3 linked regions of the Caenorhabditis elegans genome follow. The protein of the gene in region 3 purifies or fractionates together with the protein of the main gene of each other region. This does not show direct contact. Each region holds a gene or a part of one and is shown on either strand. Other genes may lie near its edges.

Region 1 (5,127 bases), on a different chromosome or scaffold from region 3:
TATCAGATGCCATGCAACAGTGGGCCGACAGCAAAGCCCCCGCCGTTGATGAATCAAATGCAGAATAGATGTATGACCAACAATGGTCAAAACTATCAGAATAGGAATATGCAGCAGCAAGGTCAGCAGCGATCATATTCGTCACAGCCTCAGAATGGTCAGTTCTACCAAAACGGAAATTCCAACCAGAACAATCCGAATAATGGTAGAAAACAGCAGCATCAGCCACAGCAGCAGCAGAACAAATCAGGAAAATTCGGACAGAATAGAAATGATATGCAAAAGAACAATTATCAACCAAATCTACAGCAACCTCCGATGAGTCAAAATCCAATTCCATTTGGGTGAGTTTCAATTACTTGGCTCATTTTAAAATATTGTTAACATTCTTTTTGCAGATGCCCACCACGTAATGTGAATGCGATTCGAGAACAACACGCAAACAATGGATCCCCAAACACTGGCGCTGGAATTCTTGGACCACATCCAATGATGTCTGCATCCCAATGGCCAGCGTTGCAGCAGAATCGGCCTCAATAGTTTGTTATTCCATTCTACGAACACTCTATAGACAATTCATGCTTTAACCACGTCTTTTTGATGTGCTGTGATGGTCATCTTTTCACATTTATCTCCCTTTTCTTGTTCCATCAGTCCGATTCGGAATTGTGTTAATCAACACGGGTCGTACTTCCTCTTTCTCCCCCCATCTCCACATATTTATATCATTATTTTCTACATTCATTTTGGCATGTTTCAAGTTATTCAATTTTCTATTGTTATATGAGCCAAGTTTGATGAAGAAATTATCTTGTTTGACTTTTGTATAGACCAATTTATTATATGTCCAATAGTGGACCGAAACGGAAACATTCAGATTTTAGTTATGCAAGAACAATGAAGAGTGACTGAGAAAGAAGAAACTAGCCAAGAGGGTAATCACAGTATGGAAGAATGGGACGAAAAATAGTATTTAAAATGTGACGAAACCGACAGGATGAGGGTAATGCAATAGATTTTCAGGACAAGTTTTCATAAATGCAGAAATGTGGAATGGAAAAATTTCAGGATAAACTAAATTTCTAGACTTTAGCTGGACGACGTTTTCGAGGAGCATCGTCACTTGGTGATGGTGGAGCAGAGATTTCCTAAATTTCAAAATTATAATTATTTAAATTGAAACACTTATCAGATTACCTCGTCTTCAATTTTTTCATAATTATCATCAGTTGATGCCTGACTATTTTTTTCAGCATCATCGTCTTCTTCCTCTTTTTGCTCCTGTTCAGCAGCAATGTGGTCTTGCTCCTCCTCTTCTGCATCAGAATCCTTTTCTTTTTTCGACTTTTTATCTTTCTTATCTTTCTTAGCTTCTTTCTTCTCATCACCAACATACTCATAAGTATACCATGGTTGGAATGATTCAAGAACTCCACAGTCTTCAGTCAAGTTCGGCAGAACCCAGAGTTTGTGTTTTCCGAAAGTAACAGCGTAGATAATTCCGAAAAGAATAGTACGGACTGAAAATAATCGAAAAATGAATATTATTGTTGAAACAACTCACGTATAGCAGTGACAATGATAGCTGCAAAACATCCAATTCCAGTAATTGATACGTAATAAACTCCTTGGCGAAGCCATACAGGCCATAGAGGGAACAAGCATCCGACAATTGTACCGACGACTGAAATATATTAATTGGATTTTAATTTTACACATTGAATCATTTCTAAAGCAGGAAATAACAAATCAAAAAGGGAAAACTTACGCATAAGTACTCCAATAATCTTTTTCATGAGAGGAGTTGGATCGAATACCCAAACGTAGACATCTTTGTCATCGACGAATGCTTGAACTTCATGTACAAGAAGCTTCACCTTCTTTTTCTTTTTTTCTTCGTCTTTCTTTTCGTCTTTTTTCACTTCTTTCTCATCACCTTCAGCTTCGGTTGCTGTTTCTTCTTCTTTGGCTTTTTTATTTCTCTTTTCAACTACACCTTTTGGAGATTTGGTAACTTCAGCTGAAAAAAACGTGTTTTAAGATATTTTTTAAGTTTTATGATTACCAGAAGAATCGTTTCCTTTATCTTTATTCTCTTTTTTCTTTGCTACTAATTTTTTTGCACGGAAGAATAATTGTTTCGAGTTGAGTTCGCAAATATAATGGAAGCAATCATCTCTGAAAATTTAGAATCTATTTAAATTTACGTAATTTCTACAGAATGCCCACCTTGTTTTAAACATTGCATCTTTCTTTGCTTTATTTCCGTACTTGGATTCCCAAAGAGTATCGACAGCTTTATTTCCTGAAAATATATGCGATATTAATATAAACAATTGAAATTTGTACATACCACTGAAATAATGAACTTCGTTTCCTTCAAACATGGTCGTGGCTGTCGGACAATTGAATCTGATGTATTTGGCAATGTCTTCTTGCTCCTTCGTCATTTTTACGGCATCTTCCGTAGATACGCCCTGAAATTTGAATTAAAACATCGTTCTTTTCTAGTTAATATTGATTTTTCCGAATAAAAACTCACTTTTTGATTACGTTTCGACATGGTTAAAGTTTTCCTTTATTAAAAAAGCAGAAAAAATGTTGAGAATCTGAAAATACAGCCAAAACAAAAGTGGTGCGTTGGAACAAGCCAAAATCTCCTGACAATTGATTGAGAAAAGTGTGCCGCAGTTGCGCTCTGACGGAAAACGCAACTGCCGCACGCTTACACACCGCGTAAATCTACACAAACTCGGCTGGCATTTCTTTCTGATTTTATCGTTCTCTTCATTTATTTTCATAATACAGGTTTCTAAAACATTTTTTTTCAATTATTTTAATTCCAGAATGGGTGGAGGACATCACGAGCCGTTTAAGATCCCAAACTACTCAATCTACAGCAATTTTCGCGATTTTCCACAGTTGGCGCAGCATGAAAAACGACTCGCTCAAATCGGATTGAAGGATCCATGGATCAGGTCGGTTTTTTATCGATAATATTAATAAATATATTATTGATTTTTCTTTCAGAAACTACGTCTACTTGTACGATCGAAAGTATCCACACGTTGTTGGACAATGGGCTCATTTCAAGAAGGTTCGTGTTTTCTTCGAGATGAATTAAATATTATTAATATAATACCAACATAATATTAAAAAATTTTTATGGATTGTATCCTATAAATGTGCTCTTGTTTGGAAAATTTCCGAGCAAGCCGATTTTCCAAAAATTATATTAATGTATTTAGGGAATTTTTTAAAATTATTTAATAAATTTCAGTTGATTCTTCCTGGATGGAAAGCTGGAGTTGCATTCACAGCTGCCTTGATTTTCGTTGAAGAAGCTTACCAATACAAGACTCACGGAACCACCTCATGGGATGGTCATCATTAGAATTATCTGTTTCAAATCTCGAGCCGATTTCTTTTTTTTTAGTTTAAAAGTTTTCTTTTTGTGTATGTAGTTTCTTAAACTCCAATAAATCATTCATTTTTAAAATCGCAATTCACCCTCGTTGAAAATTGGTATTCTGCCAGAAAGGTTTCTATGATAACGATGTCAATAAATGTTTTACAACAACAATTTAAAGGGCATGTCTGCTCTAGAGCAGTTCATAAATGATCAGAAGAAGAAAGGAAGTGGTATCAGCAGTTCAGCTTCATTTTCTTCATTTGATTCACTTCGCAACAAGCTTCCAACGTCTATTGGGTAACAAATTTCACTTAGAAGAAATGTATAAAGTTTGAAGTTTCAGAGGATTTTCCCTACTTTCCCGAAGCGAAACAACCGATAGTCAGCAGTTATTAGTTGGAGATGATTCTGGAGATGGACAATTGCCAGCTTCCAGAAATCGGTATGTTTTGTTCAGAAAAACAAAAAAAAATAAACTGAAAATCTTGATTTCTTTGAATTAAATACTCCTAAGTAGGCAAATATCAATTAAATATTATATATTTCAATTTTTAACTGATGAGAAACGGATAAAATTGTTTTCGTTTTAATAGACTCAAAATGGTTTTGAATTACTTAAATTTCATAATAAGATTACTCAAAAACTTTCAACGCTTTTTTGGCAGTTCGAAAAAAGTTTTAAAAATATTTCCAAAAGCTATGTTCACTTATCAGCGAAATTTTACGATTTTCGCGACAAAAATACGGTAGCCGGTATCGACACGCCGTTTTTTTGGAAAACAAAAATAGATGTGAGCCTTTAAAAAGTACTGTAGTTTAAAAATTTCGTTGCCGCTGAATTTTCATCGACTTTACATAGTTTTTCGGTAAAAATATACTTATTTAAAAAATTAAAATATGAATAAGCTATAAAAAATCGACGAAAATTTCACATTAACGAAAGTTTGAAATTACAGTACTCTTTAAAGGCGCGCACCTATTTGAATTTAATTAAATTAGTTGTGTCGAGACCGGACACCGTATTCTTTGCGCAAAATTGCAAGCCCGGGAAATATTATCACTCTTTTTGTGTTAAAACGACAAAATATCATTGCATTTCAAAAAAGGATATCTTTAAAATTTACAGTCAAAAATTGGATATTACTCAGCTTTAGAAACTTATAATTATCGAAGTCAACCAAAAAAAGGATTTTTTACGAATCTTACTTCTTATTTAATGTTCTGAATATTTTTTTAGAACATTTAAAATTTCCAAACATGCGAAATGCTTCTTACTTCTAAAAAAAACCAAATTAAATTGGTATTGAGCCAAAACTATGACTAAATTGTTTTCGAAAAATCGTAATTTTTTAAAGTAAACAAAAAAAAATCTGAAAATATATTTTGTTAAATTTTCCATGTATTAATTTTTAAAGTATTCATTCATAAAAAAATGCCAAAGATATCCGTTGCAAAATTCAACTCAATTAGATTGAAATTTATATTTTGTTTTTGGATAATTGGTTAAGTTAATCAAAAATTTATCACAGTAATATCAATACTACAATTCCTCGATTCAGTACACCATTATTCAAATTTTCTCATATGTTTAAAACATTTTAATCAAGTTTCAGAAAGAGTTCCGGATGGTTTTCGCCGTCAACTCAAGATGAAAGTATGTTTGGAATGACTCGAACTCAAAGAATTATTGCATTTTTCATGTGCATTATTGGAGC
Region 2 (6,585 bases), on a different chromosome or scaffold from region 3:
TTATCAAACCTTGAATAGATAATCGTGAATGTGTGCGTAGAAAACGAGAATTATCCTTGCCACGAATGCCACTAGTAAAATCTGGAAGAACATCATTAATTCGATGAATTCGTTGAAAATAGACAAATTACCTTATTTCGATTGAACGTTTCGTTCTTCACAAAACTCCGGACACATTGCATTTGTGGAGAAAACTGGAATATATTCGAATATATAAATGCTAAAAACCAACAAAGAATTTGTTAAAAATTGAAAAATGCAAGTGTGCTCTAGCGCAAATTTTCAACGGAGGGAACTTGAAAATTAGTTATTTTCGGGCAAACTTGTCGCAATTTTAATTGCTTCTTTCTTTCTTTAGATATCTCGCTTTTATTCATTTTTTACTAATCTTATATGTTTTGAAAGAATTATTTGTTAATCTTCATTATGTTTTCCCGGAAAAAATTAGCAAGAATCGAGTAAAACGGGTCTAAAAACGCGCTGCATATTACATGTAATCCTATTCTAGACAAACAAGTCATGCGTTTTCTTGTTATTCCCAATTTTGCAACAAGACGCAGAGACAAATTTCAAAATCATCAAAAGTCCAATAAAAGAATGCTTCCTTGCCCCGGAGACGCAGAGAATTTTCTGGCCGCTTTCGTTATTTCGTCTCTGTCTCTTTGTCCCGCGTGCTCTTTCTCGTGAATATAATCTGCGACTCTAGTAATTTTAGCACTATCTCTCATGTTCGTTTCGATTTTTGCGCCACATTCGACTTCATTTTTCGTTTTCCAAAACTTCTTTCAAAACAACTTTTTCGCATTAATTTGTTGTCTTCCTCACTCTTTTGAATTCAAAAACGAAAATTTTAAACCACCGATTGCAATTGTTACGAGATGCAAAAACCCGACGAATCGAATGAAAAACGTAAGAACAATTCAAATTATATTTTAAAATAATTATTATTAGTTTCAGATGATATTCCTTGCACATCAGCAAGCCTTCTCGACCATTTGATTCAGAAGGAAGCTTCTGCAGCAGAGGACACTGATCCCTTGGATCATATTGGCAATATAGGAGAAGCTATCATTGGACAATTTTCGTCTGGAGCAGATGTTGGAACCGAAATTCTACAAAATGCTCTCAAAATGTTCGATCAAGCAATGGCCTACACGAATCCACAGGCTCCACCAAAACGAAAATATAAACGAAAAGAAGCTCCGATAGAGGATGCTCAACCTACCACGACTTCATCAGCTACGCTAGCTTCCTTGCTCACTCTCAATCCGGTTCCAATTGAATCTAGTGCGAAAAGATTCCATCAAAATGATCTACGAGCTGGTTTTTCGCCACGTACCAAGTTCGACGTGGATTGTTCGGATTTCTTTCTTCTACAAGGATCTGATGCTGACACTCAATTCAATAATCTCCACAAGAAGCTCGAGAAGGAGAGAACGCAGATGTTTGATGATCAAGTTTCGAAAGATGTTGAACGACTTCTAAATACCGCAAACAGAGTTCACGGTCCCCGAGAATGGACTGCCGAGGAGAAAGCCGAATTCACTTCATACTGTAGAAGCTGGCGCAGTGGAGCATTAGGGGCCGATGACAAGCTGAATCTTCAGAAATTTTATTCAAAAGCGTACGGAAAAGTTTTCCAAGGACTGAGCGAAAATAAAGCTTCATCGGAGGAATCAGCTATCGATTTTTCTAATTTCATGGGTGTCGGTAGTGAAGATCCTGCTAATCAAACAGAAGACGTACCAGGTGGAAGCTGCAAGGCTTCTCCCGACAATTTCTCATTCTCTACTTTGAATCCAAGAATGAAATACGAGAAAGAGAAAGAATTTCGGTCCGCTATCAATAATATATTCACGGAAGTTTTCAAAGAATGTAAGTGAATATTGTAAAAGTTTTTATTCAAACAAAATTCTTTATTTTCAGTTCACTCAAAGAAGCAATTCATTCCCAAACCAACTCGCCTGGACGTTCCGCCGTGCGAAATCGAGCGGGAGCATTTATCAATGCTGATGTCAAAGTTCAGTATAGCTATGGACGATCCAGAAAAGGAATGGAATGTTGATGAGCTTCAGGAACTGCGTCGATTCTATACATTATTTCGAGAAAAAAATCATTTGCCATTCGTTCAAACTAAGGAATTCGGAAAATTTCTGCGTAAAGCATTTGGAAGACTAGAGCATTATGAGCTTCAACGAGGTTTTGCAATTAATTTATGGAACTTATATGATTGTTAGTTATTTCAGAAAATGACACTTCTCTTCAAGAAAAACGAAAATTTTGGCAAGAATACAGGAAAACGCATGTACCACCGAAAAGAGGTGATTTCTAAAATAAATTTTCACATTTTATCCCAATTTCGTACATTTCAGAGCGAAAAGCGTGCGCGGCTAGAACCACACCAGTAAGACCTTATATAAAATCGAATATTGATACAAAAGGAGAAACTGAAGAAGAGAGAAGATTGCGGAGAGCTGCGTATCTTCGAAAGTGGAGGCTAGGTAATATAACATTTTTGTAATAATACATTTAACAAATTATCGATTTTTCAGCTCAAAAAGAGAAGCATTCAGCAGACGTCATGTCACAGTTCAAGCACCAGGAAGATGTCGCCTTGTGATTTCTTTGTTTAATATTAATCAACTTTTTGTTCGCATCTCAGGAAATGTTCTTTGAAAAATAATTTGTTAGATAAAATTTATTTTAATCCGAATAAATATTTTATAATCTTTTTACTTATAGTTAATACAAAATTATAAACTCTAAGAGCTTTCAAAAAGCAAAAACCGCAAAATTAAATGCAAAAAGAAATTACAAATAAATCGTTTTTGAAAATCCGCGCAAGGACGAAGTATGCGCTAACATATGATTGTTGGCGCGTTTCTCATTCCTTGCGCGTTTCCCGTCTCGGCCGATTAATTTTTCAGTGTATTTTTTTCTGTTTTTGTTTATTTTATCCGCATTTGAATACATATTTTTGGCTTATCTTCTTTGGAATTTTTTGAAAGTATCTATGAACAATTTTTTATTGTTATTTATCAATCGATTTTCAGGTAAAATGGGCCACGGAGAAGAACCATTGACCGCCACGTATAAAACGCAGAGACCTCCATGGATCGGTCTTTGGAGTGATCGTGAATAGTAAGCTTTATTCTTTTTCTACTTTTGAAATTAAATCTAATTCAATAAAATATTTTAAAATGGTAAAATTTGTAATTCAGCAAGGGACGTGCCGACTGGTGGAAGGAGCCAGGACTTGAAGACTCTGTCACGCGTTCTGGAAAACTTCGTCTTTATCGTGCTCGTTTCCGTGAGGAAGATCCAGATTGGTATGATCCAAAGGTACAGTTAATTTATTTTGAGTGATATTCGCTAATTTTTTGCGTTTTCAGGTAAAAGACGGAGAATCCCTGGCCGGACCTTTCGGACTCGATTCCAAGAAGACCAAAAATCTCACCAAAAAAGGAGATCAGCCAGGAGAGCTGTCCGAATTCCAGAACAAAGTTTACGAAGGATCCCACCAGTTTAAGGCTATCGCTGAAAAGTTTGGAATCAGCAAAGAGCATCCAGGACTATCCGTTAGTCCAACCTTGAGCGATAATATGCTAAGTGAGGAATAATTAAAATTTTATTATAAGTATCCTGCTACAAAACTTTTTTATTTCCAGCTCCAAAGGACGAGTTAGGCAGAAACGCCGTGTTGCCAAACTCTTGGTATCCTGCCGGACCCCGTTTCTTCGACAGTCCACTCAATGAGGGATCTTTCTGGAAAGGACTTGCCGCCGCCAAGTATGCTGGAATTTTGTGTAAGACTAGATTAAGATTTAAAAAATGTTCACGATAATCATAAAACATAATTTCAGTGGCTCCATACACTATGCTGGAAATCCGTGCACTCAATACAGTCTCGGTATCCGAATTCTCGCCAAGAACCTATATGAAGAGATACCTCCAACTCGCTCCATTCCCATTGGCCGTTGCATTCGCCTGGGGCTTCAGTCTTTCAGCAGCCTCATCGATCCGTCATAAGGATGATGTCCATAATCATTGGTTCGCTAGTGTTGCTGTTGGATCAACCGTGGCTACCATGAGTATGTTTTGTTAAAAATTGTAAGCCAATTTGGCGAAATGATCAAAAAACGTGGTTTTCAGAGCGTAGAAAAAAATTTTAATTCTATTTAAATGATTTCTTATGTGTTTTCATCAGATTTTCTGTTAAATTCGAAGAAAATCACATGGAAAAAATTTAAAACAGAAACTAATATATTTTCGTAATTTTCCAAAATAGAAAAAAATCAATTCAAAAAATTATCTTTCATGGTAGCAGCCACATTATCATTGTATCTCATAATCAATTAGTTCTGATTCTGTCCGAAAAAATATTTTGTTCGAAATATTTTAATAAAAATTAGTCTGAAAATAATAAAAATTCGGCTTAAAATATGAATATTTATTTTTAAAATTTAACAAAATTCTCTGTAAATCTGGCAAAACTTGTACATTTTTATTTTTTAACAAATAAAAAATCTAGACACAAAATCAAAATCTGATTGTCCTGGTTAATTCCTGAAAAATTTAATTTTTCGTTTCAAAACCACTATTTTTCCAGAGAGCAACGTTGCCCTTGGAACCACTGCCGCCATCTTCACCGCCATCCTCGGAGCATTCTGGCAGTATCAACGACACTCGGAGACTGGACTCCAAGGAATGACTGCTCATCCACAATCTGCCGGAATCTGGGGAGGACCACTTCTTTGGCAGAAGATGCAACTTGGAAATGCCGATGTTCCGACCACACGATACTGATTGGATTTTTGAATTTTTTCTAGCTTCGATTCTACAATCATGTATAAGATTTTTAGTTTTCGAGAAAGAAGCATATAGCACTCAAACTTTAATTTTTTTTTTCTTCTTTTCTGCTCTTTTCCGAATAAAATCAGCGGTCATAGCATGAAAATAGTGTCTGTGAGTCGAGACACCGGGGGAACAACAACACAACGAATCGATTGTTTCACACGCTGGCTCCCCACCCCGCTCCGTTGTCCTGGTAACAACAAGAAGCGGGCGGTTCTTAAGAAGGGATACGCGTAGCAGCACACATACATACAAACTCGCATAACTTATTCCCTCTTGCTGGTCAAAAATGTCGTTTCTTGTGCTCTTTGGAGCACTTCTTCTCATTCAGACTTCTGAGCAGATGGTTCAATGCAGGTACACGAAGAATTTGACAAATCGAGCAGATGGTGAGTTTGGAAATTCCGAAATACTTTTTTTTTAATGGTTTTGGAAGGAATAACGTTGCCCACGTAACTCTCGGAAGTGAAAATTCAAATTAAAAAAATTTGCGAATTCTTTTCTTTTTTTGCATTTTGAAAACTGCGAAATTTAGCGATTATTATCGCAAAAATACGATACCCGGTCTCATCACGACAAATTTGTGTTAAATGCAGAAAAGGTGTGCGCCTTCAAAGAGTACTGTAGTACTGTAGTTTCAAACTTTCGTTTCTGCGCAATATTAATCGACTTTTGATAGAATTTCGATACTTAAAAATGCACTTTTTTATTAAATAAATTTCAAAATCTAGAGAAAATCTATGAAAAATCCGGCAGTAGCAAGAGTTTGAAGTTACAGTACTCTTTAAAGGCGCGCACCTTTTCTCAATTAACACAAATTTGCCGTGTCAAGACCGGGTACCGTATAGTTTTCTTACAATTAATTGAAAAACTGAAATAAAATACATGACTTTTTTTTTAACCCATGAATAACACAAGAAAACAATGAAGAACTTCGGTATTCTTTAAAGGTGCACATTTCTTAGAATTTTTGAAAATCGTTCGTTTCGAGACCCTCAACCGTACTTTTGGGCAAGCTTCCATCGAACCAAGGAATTACATTTCAAATTTATTTGGAGATCACGATCATTTTCTGTTTACGCATGACTGAGCGCTTTGACTCATTAGTTTTGACGGCTAAAAGTTGATATGTTGATCTTTATATTACGCAGACGTCGGAAGATGATCATTTTTTCCATATTTTTGGGTCTCGCCACGCTGAAAACAAATTACAGTAACTCGGGCCAGGGGCCAAGGGCCGCTTTTGCATGTCATTCTAATTAGAACGTGCGTGGCCGAGTTTCTCTTTTCGCGGGCACCTGGAAAATTTTTTTGGGTGGTCTCACAGCATAACCCAAATCTTTGTTTTAGGAGGAGATGAGCACTGTCTATTCTACTATCTTCTCAACAAGGAATACGAGAAATCTGGCAGCGTACACTCACTAAGCGCATATCCTCCAAATTCCGACGAAATGACGATTACTGTAATTATGATTTTCAGAGGAGACTGAAGTTTAAATATTTATATTTTCAGATAGAAAATGTGCTTGTCAAATACGTGGAATTGGTGAAAGGATCTAGTTATCAATTCAACGTTTTTGGAGATATTTATCTGGTAGATGGGATGACAAAAGTGGGAAATTAAATGCAAAAATTTGCAGAACTGGAAAGATGAGCGTATGAAGTGGGATAAGAAAGGCGAATTCGAGAACTATGAACACTTGTACATTTTCAATTCAAGTGCCATTTGGA
Region 3 (5,578 bases):
CTATGAGATGGGCATCGCCGCGATCGCGTACTGTAGTCCCATTTTCTAAAAAAATCGATTTCAATTTTTTTCGATTTTCCAAAACATTCCGGTGATTTTTTAGACGGTTTTCAACGAAAAAAGTCTCAAAACGTCTACAAAAATAAAAATTCTCTAGAAAATTTAAAAAAACCAAAATAAATTTTATTTAAAAAAGAGATAAATGAAAAATCAAATAATTTCTAGGATTTTGCGTGCCATTTGAAAGATAAATTGCACAATGGTAGGGATAAGAGCTCCTGAGTGTACCCTTCTCGACATGACAGCCACAGGTTAAATACGCACTGTTTTGAGTGGAGAATAAATGAAAAAATCGCCCGCAGAAGAGATCGGATGCGCAGAGAAAAGAGACAAATGACAAAACATGAGTCATTTGTTGTCAATTTCATTGCGAAACTTCTTCACGTATAAGACAATGAGCGAGATATTTGAGATGATTCAGCTTGCGAAATTTTGCCCTCCGAAACAAAAAAACTGAGAAATTCTCCCCATTGGGGAGAAAGGTAAACACTTGGGAGGGGCAGATGTTTAATGTCCTGGAATTATTTCTCGTGACTACGACTGACAGGTTTCCTCAAACAATAATAGTTTTTATTTTTGAAAGAAGAGTATTGAAAATTCGGGAATGTTCTCGTAATTATATACAGTACACAAAAATGGTGGATTTATTATTCCTGCGGATTCACTGCCAGTACGGCCTGAGCGAGTTGTTGACGGAACTGTGCAAACGAGTCGATGTCGAATTCGAAATTGGTGTCGCCGCCGACGGTTGGCATCTGAATGTTGATCACTGGCCGGAGACTTTTAGCCACGTACGAGTTGGCGACCACTGAAAAAGATACATTTTTTAAAGAAAATTTAGGAGCACATAACGGATTCGCACAAAAATAAAGGCGGGGCGTAATTTTGCAGCCATGCGGCACGGTTATTTTCTCCTTTTTTCGTCTTTTTCTCCAGTTTTTTGTGGATTTTTTCAAAAATAAAACTTCGATTTTACTTTTTATATTCTGTTTTTTTTTTCAGTTTTGTCTAGTGTTATCCAATTTTATTCTTATACTATTGTGAGGATATTTTCATGCTAAATTTGTTGTAACCACATTAAATATGCTCATAATCGTATGATAATTAAATTGGATAACATTTTTATTCGAAAAAAAGAGAATAAAACTAGTAAAATCGAAATTTTAATTTAAAAAAAAAACGACAAAAAACAGTGAAAAACCGTGCCAGGGTTGCAAAAATAAGCCAGCCTCTTTTTCTGTGCAAAGCTGCTTTTTTGATGGGAGTTTTTTTTCTCATTTACCTATATTAACATTCCACGCGATATCTTTCTCATTTTTTGCCGATTCCGCCAGCTTTTGCTCAACTATCCTCTCTAGAGCCACTTTCTCCTCGTCTTTGAGATCTTCTGATTTTTGAATAAAGTCCGTTGAATTGATTGCATGACACGCTTTAAACAGTTCTCCATAGCGTATAATATTCTTCAAATCCTCTTGATCATCGGCAAAATCGTTCGGAAGTCGTGTGGAAGTCGTTGCACAGTCATATAAAGTCGCCAATTGTTCCTCCGAGAGCATCTGGAAAGCGGGAAATTAGAAAATTCCTGGGAAAAAATAGGAGAAACCTATAAAAAACGAGAAGCGACAGAAAATTCGAGCTGCTCAATGAAGGCAGAGCATTTGGAGCAAAAAGTTGTGGAGCAAGAGCAAATGGATAGAATGTGAGGGTGACAGGAAGGTGATGAGATACATTGCCAGCTGGAAAATTGTGGAGTTTTGGAATATATATTTAGTTTTAAATTTTAGCATCGCGGCAAAACCCAAAGCTCCAAGGAGATTTTACTTTAAAATACCAAAAATAGACTAAAATTCAGAAAATCTAAAAGGAAAGACGAATTAATTTGCGAAAGAACTCAATTTTGGATAATTCTCTCTAAAATGAGAACCTACATCTTTGAACCATGGGCTTCACATTCAAATAATTCCCCAACTTCATGACTTCTAGATTCTTTTACAAGCTCACACAGCTTTCGAAACTTTGAATTATTAAGTCTAGCGTCGGCGAACAACACAAGATCCACTTTTTCTTCAAATTCCTCGGCGGAAAACAGATCTACACAATCCTGGAGCTCCTCACGAACATCTAGCTCCCTCCGGCTCAAAAACTCCTGTACTAGATGAAGATTCGTGCTGTTCATCCAGTTATGATTGATGGAAATTGTGTCTTCCTGGAATTAAATGATGTCCTTCTAAACTGAGAGATAAATAGTTGATATACCAAATTGTGGGCCTGATGGTACCAATTAGATGGGACAAACACAATTTCTCCGGGCTCTTGAACGAATTTTATCACTTTTGCCTGCTCGAATAGCCGTTCATACTCCCGAATGTCATCCACAAACCCCGACTCTGTAACGCTGCTCCGAAACAGATTTTCACTGCCTGGGGGCATCATAAACCACTGTTTTCTGCCGCAAATATTCGCTGACCAGCTATGCGATGAAACTACGTCGGAATGAAGTTTTGTCCTAGAAAGTTTGAGGGGATTTCTAATTTTTAAGAAAATTCCAAGGCTACCAGGATCCAGAAGCTCCGATATAAACGAATCGATAGTCGTCACCAAATGGATTTTCCGATTTCTCACTAGTCCATGGCTCACAATTTACAAAATCTCGAGAAAAGAAAGGATGCAAGGAGTATGAAGAGGTTCCGAATCTAAATATTTTAATTTAAAAAAATCAATTTCGAATTGAAATTCAACTCCTACTCGTTTTGAAAATGCCAATCCTTTAAGTAAACTTCTGGATCGCCCATTTCTTCCAGAAATTCCTTCAAAGTAGTGGTTTTGTACTGATTTCCTCCGCAAAGAATAGGAACTTTCGAATCTCCTGGAGCGAAACGGGATTTTCATAACAAAAAACTATCCAGACAAACCATAGGACTTTTTCAAATATTCCTTATTTGGCTGTCCATTTGGAAGCACCCAATCTTTAACGGCTGTCCAGCCAGAAGTGCTCCACTCGCCAAGGATAAAAGGCTCATTTTTGAAGCCGAATTTTACTAAAATCTCTAGCCATGGAGTCGATGGATCAGAAATTCGAGGAATTTTAGATTTCATCTTGAAATTTGCAATGGAAAAAATAATTATTCAAAGAAAATCACAGAAAATGCAACAAAAAAAACAAAAAAAGAACAAAAAACAAGTCGAAAAGTGCGCCCGGGTCGTTTGCTGACGCATCTCTTCAAACGAGACGCGCTGCTGGCGCACTTCTCGTGCCCTGTGCGTGCATTTCCGCAACAAAATTCAACACTTGTTTTGAAACGCACCGCCCTGTTTCTTTTTTCAATTTTGATAAGAAAATCAGCATTGTTTCAGGATGATTAACATTCCAACTGCGATTCTGTGCCGCTTGGGCGCCAGATCGTCGATTTCCCGCTCCTTTGGAACATCGATCGTCACCAAGGTGGGGATTTTTTGAATTTTTCCGTGAAAATTGTTGATTTTTTGTGTACGCATGAAGGAGAAATGTATAACAGACACATTCTTTTCAATTAATTATTTATAATATTCACAGTCCGAGGCAAAGACGCCAATCCAGAAGTTCGGATGGGAATACCTGTTGAAGCAGCGCTCCAAGAATCGCCCAATCGCTCCACATCTCACCGTCTACCAGCCACAATTGACCTGGATGCTCTCCGGATTCCATAGAATCAGCGGTTGTGTAATGGCCGGAACCCTTCTCGTCGGAGGAATCGGATTCGCAGTTTTGCCGTTCGATTTCACCGCTTTTGTGGATTTCATCCGTAGCTGGAACTTACCATGCGCGGTGACCGCTGTCTTCAAGTACATCATTGCTTTCCCCATCATTTTCCATACTCTTAACGGAATTCGCTTCTTAGGATTCGATTTGGCTAAGGGAGTCAATAATGTTGGACAGGTAGGAGTTGAAATTATTAATTTAATTGTTTTAAAATAAAAATTAATTTTCAGATCTACAAATCGGGATATCTCGTATCTGGACTTTCGGCTATTCTTGCTCTCGCCATTGTCTTCAACTCTTGCCAGAACAAGAGCAACAAGACTGCCTAGGCACAGATGCTCCGCCTTCTTTTTTCTTACTCCGCCCCAGCCCTCGACAATTCTCGTCAATTTACTTTTACCGTTGATTTCTTCGATTTTCTCTCTTTTCCGTAGATTTACCTCTCCTCTTCGTTTTTTTTTCTCTGTCTAGAATGTATATTATGATTATGAAAACGAATAAAAATTTTAGATGACACGCTGCACGGCGGACAACTCGCTGACGAATCCGGCGTATCGGCGACGAACGATGGCGACTGGCGAGATGAAGGAGTTTCTGGGGATAAAAGGCACAGAGCCCACCGATTTTGGAATCAATAGTGATGCTCAGGACTTGCCATCACCGAGTAGGCAGGCTTCGACGCGAAGAATGTCCATCGGAGAGTCAATTGATGGAAAAATCAATGATTGGGAAGAGCCAAGGCTTGATATCGAGGGATTTGTGGTAATTTTTTAATTTTTTTTTGTAAATAAAATTTCCTGCTGCTTCCAGGTCGACTATTTCACGCACCGAATCCGGCAAAACGGAATGGAATGGTTTGGAGCACCGGGATTGCCGTGTGGAGTGCAACCGGAGCACGAAATGATGCGAGTTATGGGAACGATATTCGAGAAGAAGCACGCGGAAAATTTTGAGACCTTCTGTGAGCAGCTGCTCGCAGTGCCCAGAATCTCATTTTCACTGTATCAGGATGTGGTTCGGACGGTTGGAAATGCACAGACAGATCAATGTCCAATGTCTTATGGACGTTTGGTAAGGGAGAAAATACTGAAAAAAAGTTTGCAAAAATTCGAAAATTCGCCAGAAAGGTGGCAGAAAAAACATTTGCAAAAATTGTTTGTTTTCCTTCAGGAAATCAGCAAAACTTGGTCAAAAATAGCCCAATTATGTGTCTTTTTTGAAAGTTTTCCATTAAAAAACCACGAATTTTGATCCCGGATTGTAATTTTTTTTGTTGATAAATTAGCAGAAAACTTTACGAATTCGATTAAAAACGTTATTTTCTATTCGAATATTTTTAAAGCATATTTTCCTTGATTTGTATTTGCGAAAAAGATCTGCTGATTTATCAAAAATCGGTTTTTAAATGTAAAATTTGTGGAAAATACATTAAAATTCGATTTTTGAACTTTTTTCTTCGAAAAACAGGTTTTTCTGCTGATTTGCTGAACGAAAAACCCCAAAAATTCAATTTTCGAACATTAAAAACCAGAAAAATCGTTTTTTTAAGCTTAATTTTCCGCCAGAAATGAACGAATTAAATTGCAAATTTCTAATTTTCAGATAGGTCTAATCTCGTTCGGCGGTTTCGTAGCTGCAAAAATGATGGAATCCGTGGAACTGCAGGGACAAGTGCGAAACCTCTTCGTTTACACATCGCTGTTCATCAAAACGCGGATCCGCAACAACTGGAAGGAACACAATCGGAGCTGGGTAAGGAGTATTTGCATAGACATTAGA

The links. Proteins that work in one complex are often made in the same cells at the same time.
Region 1: the proteins of mev-1 (region 3) and ndub-3 fractionate together in Caenorhabditis elegans (co-fractionation; one large-scale study listed by BioGRID). This does not show direct contact.
Region 2: the proteins of mev-1 (region 3) and nduf-11 fractionate together in Caenorhabditis elegans (co-fractionation; one large-scale study listed by BioGRID). This does not show direct contact.

The regions. Positions count from the first base shown.
Region 1 is NC_003280.10:8,962,610-8,967,736, reverse strand, and holds ndub-3 (NADH dehydrogenase [ubiquinone] 1 beta subcomplex subunit 3), read left to right. Parts: upstream 1-2,846; 5' UTR 2,847-2,847; coding exon 2,848-2,978; intron 2,979-3,030; coding exon 3,031-3,097; intron 3,098-3,280; coding exon 3,281-3,394; 3' UTR 3,395-3,495; downstream 3,496-5,127. Other genes in the region: szy-20 (SUZ domain-containing protein), read left to right, coding at 1-344, 399-540; sec-62 (Translocation protein SEC62), read right to left, coding at 1,083-1,148, 1,198-1,520, 1,565-1,684, 1,769-2,020, 2,066-2,178, 2,230-2,305, 2,354-2,477, 2,543-2,563; sftd-3 (Vesicle transport protein), read left to right, coding at 3,594-3,709, 3,756-3,854, 5,026-5,127.
Region 2 is NC_003280.10:11,342,089-11,348,673, reverse strand, and holds nduf-11 (Complex I-B14.7), read left to right. Parts: upstream 1-3,053; 5' UTR 3,054-3,058; coding exon 3,059-3,141; intron 3,142-3,221; coding exon 3,222-3,342; intron 3,343-3,392; coding exon 3,393-3,609; intron 3,610-3,668; coding exon 3,669-3,806; intron 3,807-3,863; coding exon 3,864-4,091; intron 4,092-4,609; coding exon 4,610-4,806; 3' UTR 4,807-4,953; downstream 4,954-6,585. Other genes in the region: pigm-1 (GPI alpha-1,4-mannosyltransferase I, catalytic subunit), read right to left, coding at 10-81, 132-182; B0491.6 (DNA helicase), read left to right, coding at 879-909, 952-1,875, 1,927-2,199, 2,247-2,321, 2,373-2,501, 2,553-2,620; lgc-20 (Neurotransmitter-gated ion-channel ligand-binding domain-containing protein), read left to right, coding at 5,144-5,243, 6,205-6,317, 6,368-6,448, 6,495-6,585.
Region 3 is NC_003281.10:10,330,863-10,336,440, forward strand, and holds mev-1 (Succinate dehydrogenase cytochrome b560 subunit, mitochondrial), read left to right. Parts: upstream 1-3,414; 5' UTR 3,415-3,415; coding exon 3,416-3,502; intron 3,503-3,613; coding exon 3,614-3,976; intron 3,977-4,029; coding exon 4,030-4,128; 3' UTR 4,129-4,306; downstream 4,307-5,578. Other genes in the region: T07C4.12 (COMM domain-containing protein), read right to left, coding at 708-868, 1,343-1,616; jmjd-4 (Jumonji domain-containing protein 4), read right to left, coding at 1,664-1,796, 1,989-2,266, 2,317-2,566, 2,616-2,753, 2,806-2,926, 2,973-3,156; Apoptosis regulator ced-9, read left to right, coding at 4,310-4,561, 4,610-4,870, 5,402-5,551. UniProt on the Caenorhabditis elegans protein: Membrane-anchoring subunit of succinate dehydrogenase (SDH) that is involved in complex II of the mitochondrial electron transport chain and is responsible for transferring electrons from succinate to ubiquinone (coenzyme Q).